Linked DNA regions of Cricetulus griseus. Each later gene encodes a partner of the first gene's protein in a complex. Links are inferred from orthologs where the notes say so. Each region holds a gene or a part of one and is shown in the gene's direction. Other genes may lie near its edges.

What was found.
Region 2: Ercc3 (region 1) and Gtf2a1 share a complex: the UniProt entries of both Homo sapiens proteins name them as parts of the TBP-based Pol II pre-initiation complex. The link is inferred for Cricetulus griseus from reciprocal best matches to the Homo sapiens genes ERCC3 and GTF2A1.
Region 3: Ercc3 (region 1) and Polr2k share a complex: the UniProt entries of both Homo sapiens proteins name them as parts of the TBP-based Pol II pre-initiation complex. The link is inferred for Cricetulus griseus from reciprocal best matches to the Homo sapiens genes ERCC3 and POLR2K.

The regions. Positions count from the first base shown.
Region 1 is NC_048595.1:205,095,513-205,099,160, reverse strand, and holds part of Ercc3 (general transcription and DNA repair factor IIH helicase subunit XPB), read left to right. Parts: intron 1-2,000; coding exon 2,001-2,185; intron 2,186-3,648. UniProt on the Homo sapiens protein: ATP-dependent 3'-5' DNA helicase/translocase. Binds dsDNA rather than ssDNA, unzipping it in a translocase rather than classical helicase activity. Component of the general transcription and DNA repair factor IIH (TFIIH) core complex.
Region 2 is NC_048598.1:113,326,911-113,330,558, forward strand, and holds part of Gtf2a1 (transcription initiation factor IIA subunit 1), read left to right. Parts: intron 1-879; exon of another isoform or gene 880-1,022; intron 1,023-1,813; coding exon 1,814-1,881; intron 1,882-3,437; coding exon 3,438-3,513; intron 3,514-3,648. UniProt on the Homo sapiens protein: TFIIA is a component of the transcription machinery of RNA polymerase II and plays an important role in transcriptional activation. TFIIA in a complex with TBP mediates transcriptional activity.
Region 3 is NC_048603.1:15,288,314-15,292,607, reverse strand, and holds the start of Polr2k (DNA-directed RNA polymerases I, II, and III subunit RPABC4), read left to right. Parts: upstream 1-1,452; 5' UTR 1,453-1,549; intron 1,550-2,624; 5' UTR 2,625-2,633; coding exon 2,634-2,694; intron 2,695-3,244; coding exon 3,245-3,337; intron 3,338-4,294. UniProt on the Homo sapiens protein: DNA-dependent RNA polymerase catalyzes the transcription of DNA into RNA using the four ribonucleoside triphosphates as substrates.

The DNA.
Region 1 (3,648 bases):
GTTCATATGAGTTCATATGTTGGAGGTCATTCTGAAAGATGGTAATAAAACATACAGCACACAGAAGGGAATCCCACATCACATGTCTGTAGGGGTGGGGATACTGACGATTGTAGCCAGGGTTTCATGTATGTGAAGTGTATGCTCTTCCACTGAGCTACACCTCCAACTCCAACTCTTATTTTTTCCTCCTTTGGAAAGACAGGCAAGCCAGGTTTTATTGAGAAGTAGGGTAACAGCTCCCTGTGGGTGTGGGGAATAGGCTATCTTCAAAATGTGTGGCCCAACCCAAAACACTTAAAAATTTTATATTTATTTTCGGGGAGGGCATGTGTATGTCACATCAAGGGCATGGTGGTCCATAGGAGTTGGTTCTCTCCTTCTACCACATGGATCCCAGACTTTGAATTCAGGTCATCAGACCTGGCAGCAAGTATCTTTACCTGCTGAGCCATCTCATTGTTCTCTCAACTTAAAACATCTTAATCTTCTTCCAAAGTGTTAAAAGTTTTAAGATCTATGGCCATGGAAACCTACAAATTGGAGGATCAGAGTTCAAGTCCCAAGAACCCACATAAAAGCTGGATGTGCTAGGGTGTCCTGACCTGTTAGGACATCAACCTGGGGCAAGAGAGTCAGGGATAGGGAATGGGGACAAGAGACGCAGAAAGAACGACCACAAGACAGGATTCTGATCAAGTGGCAAACTTTACTTTTCTCAGGCTAGGTAATATAGTCGGCAGAGCAGGATATGGGGAGGGGTAGAATAGGTTGTTTGTGAGCCAGGTGTTAGTGTAGGCAGGATATTAGGAAGCCACAAAGAGGATGTTTGGCAGGATAAAGAGTTTATGAGTAAGAGGTCCAGGAAGGGTTGTCTAGGTGACTGAGCCTGTGGGTGGAGGACTGGGTCAAGTTGTTTCTTTTCTTGAGCTGAGGTTCTAAGGAGCTGCTATGTAAAGGTTAACTATGTGGCCTGCCAAGCATGGCCTAGGATCTCATGCCCAGCCCCGAGATTTGGCTCCCAACACTAGGGTATATCTGTAACCCTAGCACTCTGGTCCTATGGAAGATGGGAGTGGCTTCTGCTACTCATCTAGACTGGCATGTGTAGCAGTGTATCACAAATGACGCTGTCTCAAACAAGATGGAAGATGAAGAAGGATACCTGCGGTTGTCTTCTAATGTCCACACGTGATGTAGCATGTGGGTGCTTGCATTCACACACACACAAGCATACCCACGCAAGATTTTTAAAAAGTTGTTTCCCATTTATGTGTTTATTTGATGAAATCAGGAGTTATAATAATCAAAGCAAAGGAAGAAAATAAAAGTTGCTTGTTGACGAAAATAAGTCTCATTGGTATTGTTGTGTGTTTGTTTTGTTTTGTTGGGACAGGGTCTCACTTTGTATTCCTGGTTGTCCTGGAACTAACTATATAGGATAGGCTAGTCTCGAACTCCCAACAGTCCTCCTGCCTCTGCTTCCAGAGTGCTGAGATTAAAGGCATGCACTTCCATGCTTGATGTAATTGGTATCTTTAGGAGGGGAACAGGTAAGCAGGATGCTTAGGCGAACTGGAGGCTTCGCTTCGTCACTGTCATGAGCTCTGTTTGCTCTTTGGTTTGAGGGGGGATGGTAAGAAGCAGAGCAGAGCTGGCTGTCTCTCTCCCAGCTTCAGGATGAATGATTTGTGTGGCTTGGAGTCAAGTCATACTTCCTGCTGTTGTCTGGACTCCTGACAGTGTTGGTAGGAGAGTGCTGGAATTTGTGAACTTGGAACTCCTTGAAGTCATTTGTCCCTTGTTCTTTCTGTCTCTTGAACAGGTCTAAAAGACATGATGAAATACTCTTACTTTGTTTTTGTCTGGAACCAGACTTCAGCTCTCTAGTCCCAAGGTCTACACATACAGTGCCACAGACCAGTGCCAAGTGTCAAGCTGTGTGTGGTACCTTTTCAGTGTAGAAAATGCTGATATGAATGTTCCCTTTGTTTCCCCAGCCAAGATGTTCCGACGGGTGCTGACCATTGTGCAGGCCCACTGTAAGCTGGGTTTGACTGCAACCCTTGTTCGGGAAGATGACAAAATTGTTGACTTAAATTTCCTGATTGGGCCCAAGCTTTATGAAGCCAACTGGATGGAGCTGCAGAACAATGGGTACATTGCCAAAGTCCAGTGTGCCGAGGTATTTGCACCCCTGGGTGGTATGTGAAGAAAGGACTCCTCCCATGGGAGTGGAAGGGATCTGTTGATAAATTCCTCGTGGGCAGACAAGCAGGACAGGACCAAGTCTAAATGAGCATGCATACCATAGTCACCTTGAGAGGTGAGCCATACCTCACTGCAGAGTGCAGTGGAATCCTGTCTCTGCCATGTGGTAAAGTCAGTAAGCCCAGTACAGACCATGCCTCACTCACTCACTCCTTGCTCTCCTGTGATGGGCTTCTAGGTACTCTGTTCATGCTCACCCTGAAGGATTGCTGCAATGGCCTATGTGGGCATCCACTTAAACTAATAACAGTGCCAAAGCCCTAAGAAAATAGATTGGTCCTTATGGTGTTATTTCTGAGAACACATTTTTCTAATGCTGTTTTCTAGTGAATACCCGCACAGATATGTGTTAAAATCCATAGTCAAAGCTAAGTCTTTGAATGAATGACAAAACCATCCATTTTAGCACTTAATATGGCTGCCACTCAATAGCTACAGTAGGTGGCCTCTGAAAGGACAGGAAGGGACTCATGAGTGTGAGAAACTTGTAACTGGTATGGAACTTGTGTTATACTTGTCAAGCACTCTACCCACTGAGCCATCCTGCCAGCCCTGCGTATTTTCTTGATCATGCATGTAATTGTAGTTCATTCCTTTGAATTACTGTGTAGTAGTCTTTCATACGCTGTATCCCAACTTGATATATAACTAAATACTACCTAGCAATAGAAAACCCTTTTTAATATTGACTGACATTTTGTTTACTAAATTGTTTTTATAAGGGTTTTATTACTTGTTCAGTGATAAAACTCTTGCCTAGTATGTGTGAGAGAGACTCTGGGTTCATCTCCCACACATACACAAAGAAATAAATAAGCAAACATTTATTAGAGATAATTTATGAGTGAGGATTGGGGTTCAGGGAACAGGGAGAAATGAAAGCCCCAACACCATTATGCTGCATAGTAACAGAGGGCTCTATACTCCCCCGACAGTCTGATGTGCTGCTGGCCGTCCAAGAAGGCAAGAGGAGCAGTACTGATTTGTGTGTGGTGATGTAGTCTAAGTGGAGGGGTTTCTGGTTTCTCACACTAGCAGCTCCATGAAAATAATTCCCTAAATATGACTGTATTTGAAAATCTCTGATTAAGTTAGTAACCGTTACATTTTGAGTATTAATTTTTCTTTTTAAATGTATTTTGTTTGTATAAGTGTTTGCCTGCTTGTATATCTGTATACCACATGCATGCAGTGCCCTTGGAGGCCCAAAGCGGGCATTGGATCCCCAAGAGACTAAAATTAGACAGTTGTTAGCTGCGATGTGGGTGCTAGGAATCAAATTTAGGTCCTCTTGAAGAGCAATTAGTAATCTTAACTACTCAGCCATCTCTCAGCCACTATTTTATTTTAAATTAAAATATAATTACATCGTTGATT
Region 2 (3,648 bases), on another chromosome or scaffold:
GTATCACTGTTAGGTAACTCATTTGCTTCATCTCAGTATGTGAAATACAGAATGAATACGTAGTAGAACAGCCTATATGATTTGGCTTAATGTTTATAGGTTTTGAATATCTTTTTTTTTTTTTTTTTTTTTTTTTTTTTTTTTTTTTAGAATTAATTTAGTGTTTGTGAGGGAGTGGGAAACCATGGTACACATGTGGAAGTCAGAGGACAACTGGCAGGAGTCTGTTCTCTCCTTCTACCGTGTGGGTTCCAAGTATGGAACTCTTGTCTTTAGGCTTGGGGGCAAGTGACTTTGCCTGCTGAGCCATCTCTCCAACTCTTTTTATTTTTTTAAATTTAATTTTTACAAAATTATAATTTCACTTGTCAATCCCTTCTCCCTCTCCCTTCCCTCCCCCCAACCCCTCACCAGTCCCCTCCTTGCTCCCCCCTCTGCTCCCCATGGAGGGTAGGGCCCTCCACTTGGGGCTCCCCAGATTCCACAACATCATCCTGGGCCGGGCCTAGGCCCTCCCCCATGTGTCTAGTCCAAGAGAGCATCCCTTCACGTGGGATGGGTTCTCAAAGTCCCTTCTTACACCAGGGAAAAATACTGATCCACTACCAGAGGCCCCATAGAGTACCGAGGTATCCTCATTGACATCAAGTTTCAGGGTTTTGGATCAGTCCTGTGATGGCCTCCCAGACAGTAGTCTGGGATCCATGTGCTCCCTCTTGTTCAGGCCAGCTGTTTCTGTGGGATTCACCAGCCTGGTCCTGACCCCTTTACTCATCATTCCTCCCTCTCTGCAACTGGGTTCCAGAGTTCAGTTCAGTGTATAGTTGTCTCACCAACTCTTAATACCTATGCTAAGTCTGTACCACATAATCACATCCTTGATGACTGTTCCTCCTATTGCCTTTAGGCATGGCACTAGGATTTTAGGTCATCATAAATTAAAATTGATTTTTTTCACTCAGAGGATATCAAGGTAATGGGATTACCTGTGTATTCTCTGAAATTTGCGGGATCAAACAACTCTATTCTTTGACTGACATTGACATTGTTTCTGAATTGTGTGTGTGATGCCTGTGTGTGCACACACAGATGTAGTTGCTCACATACTATGGTGCATTCATGGAAGTCAGAGGACAACTTCCGGTGTTGATCCTTCTTTCCATTTGTTTGAGACAGGGTCTCTGTTGCTTTTCCTCTACTATATACACCTAGCTAGCTGTTCTGCTGTCTCATTGTCCTTGTAGCTCCCCATATGCTGTCCAGAGCATTGGTGCTATAGTGCCCTTGCTGTGTGGCTGTCTGGCTTTTACCTGCGTTCTGGGGATTCAGACTCAGGTCCCCATGCTTGTACAGCAAGCACTTACACCCATTGATTTCTATTTTTTAAATAGCTAATTAAAGTGCCACGATTGTGGTAGCTGTCAAGTTGGTCAAAGGATGTTGTAGGGTTTTTTTTGTTTGTTTTTAGACAGTGTCTCACTAGGAAGATCACGCTGGCCTTGAACTCAGAGATGCACCTACCTATTTCCTGAGTGTGTTAGAATTAAAGGCATGTACTACCATGCCTGGCCTAGGTATTGTCATTTTAATGTTTTTCAATATAAAATGAATATATCTCAGCTGTTGATTTCCATAGAAAAATTTAAAAACTTCTGAAATAGAAAATAGTCTGAGAGTATTTTAATGTAGAAACACAACAGAAGCATGAAAAAAGTAAAAAGTGTTTGGCATTTTATAGTATTACTGTGACTGTGAAGTGTCCTCATGGTTCCTTGTTTACAAATATCTTTTTTTTTTCTTTGTCTATTTGTAGCTACGGCACCACAAGTTATTGTTCCTGATTCTAAGTTGATACAACATATGAATGCATCAAGTATTACGGTAAGACTTGAACATGACACTTACATTGGCTTCAGTTATTTAACTTAAAAATTGCAATTATTCCTATGTGTATTGTATTTAACAGTTTGAGGATTATGGAAGATTTGAGCAAAATAGCTGTTAGCCACAAATCTAAAGTGTAGCTTAATCTTAAACATTAAAGTTCATACAATTATGTAATTTTTTCCTTAATACCAAATACTCTTTGTGGTCAATACTTTATAGCTGTAGGGAATCAGCCAAGCATATACTGACACCTTCTGTTTCAGAAAGTTAGTTAGTTGTAAGAGGAGGGGAATGCTAACAATCCAGGAAAGCCATTTTTTTTTTAAATTTTATTAGTTATTTGAAAATTTCATATGTATTTTATTTATATTCACCCCCCTACTCCAACTCTTCCCAGATCCACCCCTTATCTTTTACCTGCCAACCCAAGTTTGTGTCTTCTGTTTTGTTTCTCTAAACCATCAAATCCAGCTGTGTTGCCCATGCACACACAGCATGTGGCTTTTCAAGGACACTGTTTCTAAAGTTTCATGTTTAAAAGAATCTTTGCTCTGACTTAAACATAATGCACAGTTTGTTTTCCTGTAATCTCTAAATTCATACCTTAAAATGCAAAACAAGACTAAGCAGGTTGGTATGCACTTGTGATCCCCAGTACTCAGGAGACAGAGGCAGGAGACTGACTTGATGTTGAAGACCAGCCTGTCTGGGCAGTAAGTTACAGACTAGAGAGACATACAGACATACAAGACTGCACTCAGAAAAAGAAAAGAAAAAGCCGACGAGTTACTAAAATGCGAAATTATATCCAGGATTTGTATCAATGTATGCAGGAAAAATACCATCAATAGACCTTTGGGTTCACATATACAAGGTAGAGAGTGTGTGTGTGTGCGAGTGCGCATGCACGCATATACACACAAGTATTTTAAATCCGGGGAAAATATCTGATGTTTGAGATAGTTCTGAAACTTTTGGATAAGAAACACTCATCTCATTACATATTTTACCTAGATTGTTGTGTCAGTGTGTTCATGCTCCTTTTAGATAATGTGGCATCTTAGAAAAATTGCCAGTTATAGAAACCAAGGAATTCTTCAGATTGTCTTTTAGGGGGAGACCTGTTGATTTTGGGAGAAATGTAAAAATGAAGAAACAAGGATGGCTTGACTTTGGCCTTAAGTATATTATTGAAGCAGGAAATTGGGTGTAAGGAACCAAACAGTGGAAGGATGGCAGTCATGGAATGGTGTCCTCACGGTACAACTTTACTGTGAGTGCATGTATTTCTAAAAACATACTGAGTCTGTGAGAGCTTGAATCAGGAGGTTGCTTAGAGTAAGTTCTTTAGGGGAGCCAGACCATTAGACTTACAATTTCTTGAAAGACTTGAATAGGTTATTTAGGCTCTCTTGCCACATGAGCGCACCCTGTTGTTCGAGTGCCTTTCAGTCAGTTCTCCATGCGCTGTAAAGTACACTACAGATAAACTGAGGTCTACTTGGCGCGCACTCGTAGATACGACTTTCCCTTTGTTTTTCTTCTTGCAGAGTGCTGCTGCTACGGCTGCCACCTTGGCCCTCCCTGCAGGCGTGACTCCCGTTCAGCAGATACTAACAAATTCAGGTAATCAGAACAAGGAAAGCGGCTTAAATATTGTTCAGAAACTAACACCAAGTAGCTCTTAATGTTTTATTGTCACTGAAGGGAGGCAGTACTGACGCTTGTTAAGATCATTTGAGGGCTATAGGATATAGAATT
Region 3 (4,294 bases), on another chromosome or scaffold:
TTGCTGTTTTTGCAAAGGACCAAGTTCAGTTCCCAGCACCCACGTAGGGCGGCTTCTAATAGTCTGTAGCTCCAGTCCAGGGGCTCCGAGGACCTTTTCAGGTCTCTGCTGGCACTAACACAGACAACTCAAAGTAACAACGAAATCTTAGCCGGGTGGTGGTGGCGCACACCTTTAATCCCAGCACTCAGGAGGCAGAGGCAGGCGGATCTCTGTGAGTTCGAGGCCAGCCTGGTCTCCAGAGTGAGTGCCAGGACAGACTCCAAAGCTACAGAGAAATCCTGTCTCGAAAAAACCAAAAACACAAAACAAAGAAACAACGAAATCTTAAAATCTCAGACGTCTAATGTAAGCCCCCTGGAAGCTCAGGCCTCCAGAATCCTTTCCCAGGACTGCGGCCATCCCAATCATCATGAGGAGTCGGAAACTTGATGCAAACAGCAAGAGGCTTTAATGAAAGGTAGACGTTTGTACGAAGGGGCTCTCTCAGCATGCAGGCTAGAGAGCAGCCCCGTCCCCCAGGCACAGGCCTTTTTAAAGGCAAAAACCACAAGCTTAGGGAGGGGTGTGACCAGAGTCACAGGTGCCTAAGAGACCCTTTGTCTTGAGGAGAGGGCTGGGAATCAGATGGCCTCCTGACCCACCAGCTGTAAAACCTGCAGACCTCAGGATATGCTTAGCTTGCTTGAGCAAATGGTACCTATCTCTTTGTTTCACAGGGACACTTAATTGTTAATGATTGACACATTGGCCGGTGGGGCAATCTGTTTTTTTCATGAGCCCCTCGGGGAGGGTGGCCATCTGGGAATTCTTGGTACCCAGTTATATTATGGCCTTGTAAGGGAGTAATTGCTTGCGGCTGGTAAATTCCAGGCCCTAAGTCCTAATAGTGGCCTTAGTTTCCGAGTTAGGCCGCCCTACATTCAGTTTGGAGAGTTTCCTTATCTGGGCTATATTTCTTTGCTAATTTTTAAGTCTTTCACTAGCAAGTGAGAAGCCACACCACCCTTTCTCTACAGCCGGGGCTTAGCCCGGCAGACACACCTGACCGCCCTAGGATTGGGGAGACTTTGTAGCGTGGCTGAGGGCGAGCGTTTAACAGGCTGCTGGGCTGTGTGCGGAGGAAGCAGCTCAAGCGACCGTTTTCCTGAAGATTCACCCCTGCGAGCCACCGAGCTAAGCCAACGGTCCTGAAAAAAAGTATTTTTAATTGACATCTCCGGGGCCTGGGGGAGAGCCGCGCGCTGAAGGGCAGCCAAACAAAAGAGAACCCTGTGCAAACGGCGACGAGCAAATGGCGACGAGCAAATGGCGACGAGCCCGAGTCTCGAACCCGCGACCGCCGCCGGAGCGAGAGCTGCTTTCGGCTTCCGCCGTCGCCTGTGCCCAGCCCGGGCTCTCGGCGGCGGAGGGGACGGGGCGGGGGCGGGGCTCCTGCGCGTCATTAGGCAGCGCCGGAAGCGCGCGGTCCGCGCCGGTAGTGAGTCCGTCACTGAGGACGCGGGGGAACGTTTGTGTGCGTACCGAGACTCTGCTTGGAGCCGCGGAGGTGAGAGATCGGTCTGAGGGCAAAAAAACTGGCTTTAGAAGGTTTTAGAAAGTTCCCGGGTGCCCGGGAGAGCTGGCTCCACGCCGCCTGGGCGCTCGGGAAACGGAGGCAGGGGACTGCCGCCTTCAGCAGACGGACGCCCGGGCTTTGGGGTTGGCTTGGGCGATGAAGTGAGTTCCGGGCCAGCCTGGGCTACCAAGTGGGGAGCCTCTCAAAGAGCCAAATAAACGTAAATAAATGGTCGGTGACTGGGCTGGAGGGGCGGCTCAGAGGTTAAGAGCGCCGATTGCTCCTCCAGAGGTCCCGGGTTCAATTCCCAGCACCCACATGGCAGCTCACAGCTGTCTGCAACTCCAGTTCCAGGGGACCTGACACCCTCACACCAACGCACATAAAATAAAATAAATTTAAAAAATGATTTATGACAAGATCCCCGGCGGAGTTAGCGGATTTTTGTGGGTTTTTTTTTTTTTTAGTTTATTTGTTGTTTGGTTTTTCGAGACAGGGTTTCTAAGTTTATTTTTATTTTTTGTGCATTGGGTATTTTGCATGGATGTCAGCTGGGTGCCCTGGAACTGGGGTTGCACACAGTTGTGAGCTGCTATGTGTGTGCTGGGAATTGAACTCAGGAGGAGCAACCGGTGCTCTTAACCTCTGAGCCATCTCTCCAGCCCCCCCCCCCTTTGCTTCTTAGTGTCGGGAGACGCTGGGCACACAGAGAGCTGTGCTTAGCCTCGGTTTCCCCGAGTGTAAAGAGTGATGCCCTCTGGCACCTTCAAGAGTGTCGTAGACCTTCGAGATGGATTCTGTGTTGTTGAGAATGTGTTTCCTCCTTCAGACCCAGCCCACAGTTGGTGGGGAAGGGGGGGTTTCAAATAAGGAATTATGATTTTTTTCCCCCTCATTCTGTAATACTGGGGTTTGATCCTCGAGCCGCTGTGTTCTGGGCAAACATTCTACACCTGAGATTTTCTCTTCACCCCGGAATCAGGACCTTGCGTAGCTGCTGGGGAAAAGGGAGCCTGGTTGGTTTTGTGTGATGATCTTGTTATTCAAGCTTTGGCTCTGATTTCAGGCACTAGCAATGGACGCGCAGAAAGACGTCCAACCCCCAAAGCAGCAGCCGATGATATATATTTGCGGAGGTAAGATTAACATTTAAGTAGGAACGTTTTTTGTTGTTGTTTTGGTTTTTTGGTTTGTTTGGCTTTTTTTTTTTTTTGCTTTTGTTTTGTTTTTTTGAAACAGGGTTTTTCTGTGGCTTTGGAGCCTATCCTGGAACTCACTCTGTACACCAGGCTGGTCTCCAACTCACAGAGATCCCCCTGCCTCTGCCTCCCTAGTGCTGGGATTAAAGGTATGTGCCACCAATGCCCTGCTTAAGTAGGAACATTTTACCTCAACTTTCCATATATGAGTACTGATCTTCAAAGTTATAAAGCGGAGCACTCAGGAGGCAGAGGCAGGGGGATCTCTGCGAGTTCAAGTGAAACACTTTAGCATCATTAATGTAAAAGTCCCTCGTTAAGATTTGTCTTTTCATCAGGAAAAGGTACGCTGCCGACAGCTCTTTTCTTTCCTCCTTGGTGTATTTAGTTTCGGGGCTTTGACTTGCTCTGGCGAAGTCTGTGGTTATATTTGGTTCCCTGTAGTGTTTCTCTTTCAGGCATTGACTGAACGTGTTTTATTCCCTAGAGTGTCACACGGAAAATGAAATAAAGTCCAGGGATCCAATCAGATGCAGAGAATGTGGATACAGAATAATGTACAAGAAAAGGACAAAAAGATGTATCCTTCTGACTGGGCTTTCTAAACGTAAAGAGGAATAACTAATACTCGGTTGATAAAGACCAAGTTCTGACAAAAGTAGCAACTTTTGGGTTGTTTATTTTTCTAAGCAGATTGAATGTGACTTTATTAATGAAGAGTTTATTAACTGAGAATGTGGGGGGCTCTGAAGGACGTAAATGTATATTATTTTAATATGAATTATTTTTCACCAAACTTGGAGAAAAGAGGCAGGCAGAGCTTTGTGAGTTCAAGGCCAGCTAGAACTACTAAGTGAGACTCAGTGTCAAAAAAAACAAATAGGGGCTAGAGAGACTCGTCAGCAGGCAGGTAAGGGCATCGGCTGTTCTTCCAGAGGACCTGTGTTCTGTTTCTAGCACCAACATAATTACTCATGATCCTCTGTAACTCCAGTTTCGGGGGTCTGATCCCTTTTTCCGACCTCCACCTGTACAAAGGACCCAAGTGTGTGTGTGTGTGTGTGTGTGTGTTTAAAAAACCCTGTAAGTGATTTTAGCTTTTATTTTACTTTTTTTTTTTTAGTTCAAATTAGAAACAAGCCTACTTCGATTGTCAATCCCTGCTCCCTCCTCTCTCTAGCCCTTCACCAACTCACCACATCATCCCCCCCTCTGCTCCCCAGGGAGGGTAAGGCCCTCCATGAGGTATCCCCAAAGTCTGTCATATCGTTTGGGATAGGGCCTAGACCCTCCCCCATGTGTCCAGGCTGAGAGAGCATCCCTCCACGTGGGATGGGCTCCCAAAGTCCTTTTGTACACCAGCTCTTTTTTTTTTAAGTAAACATGATTAGTGTTTTCGTGCCATTCATTATGGGCTCTAAGTAATTAAAAAATTAATCAATTTGGGTTTATGTAAATGTTTTTAGTTTTTTCAGGAATTCTTTGTTAGAAGTAGTCACTCTTGATTGTTAGCTTATGGGTAATCTAAAGTATGGGA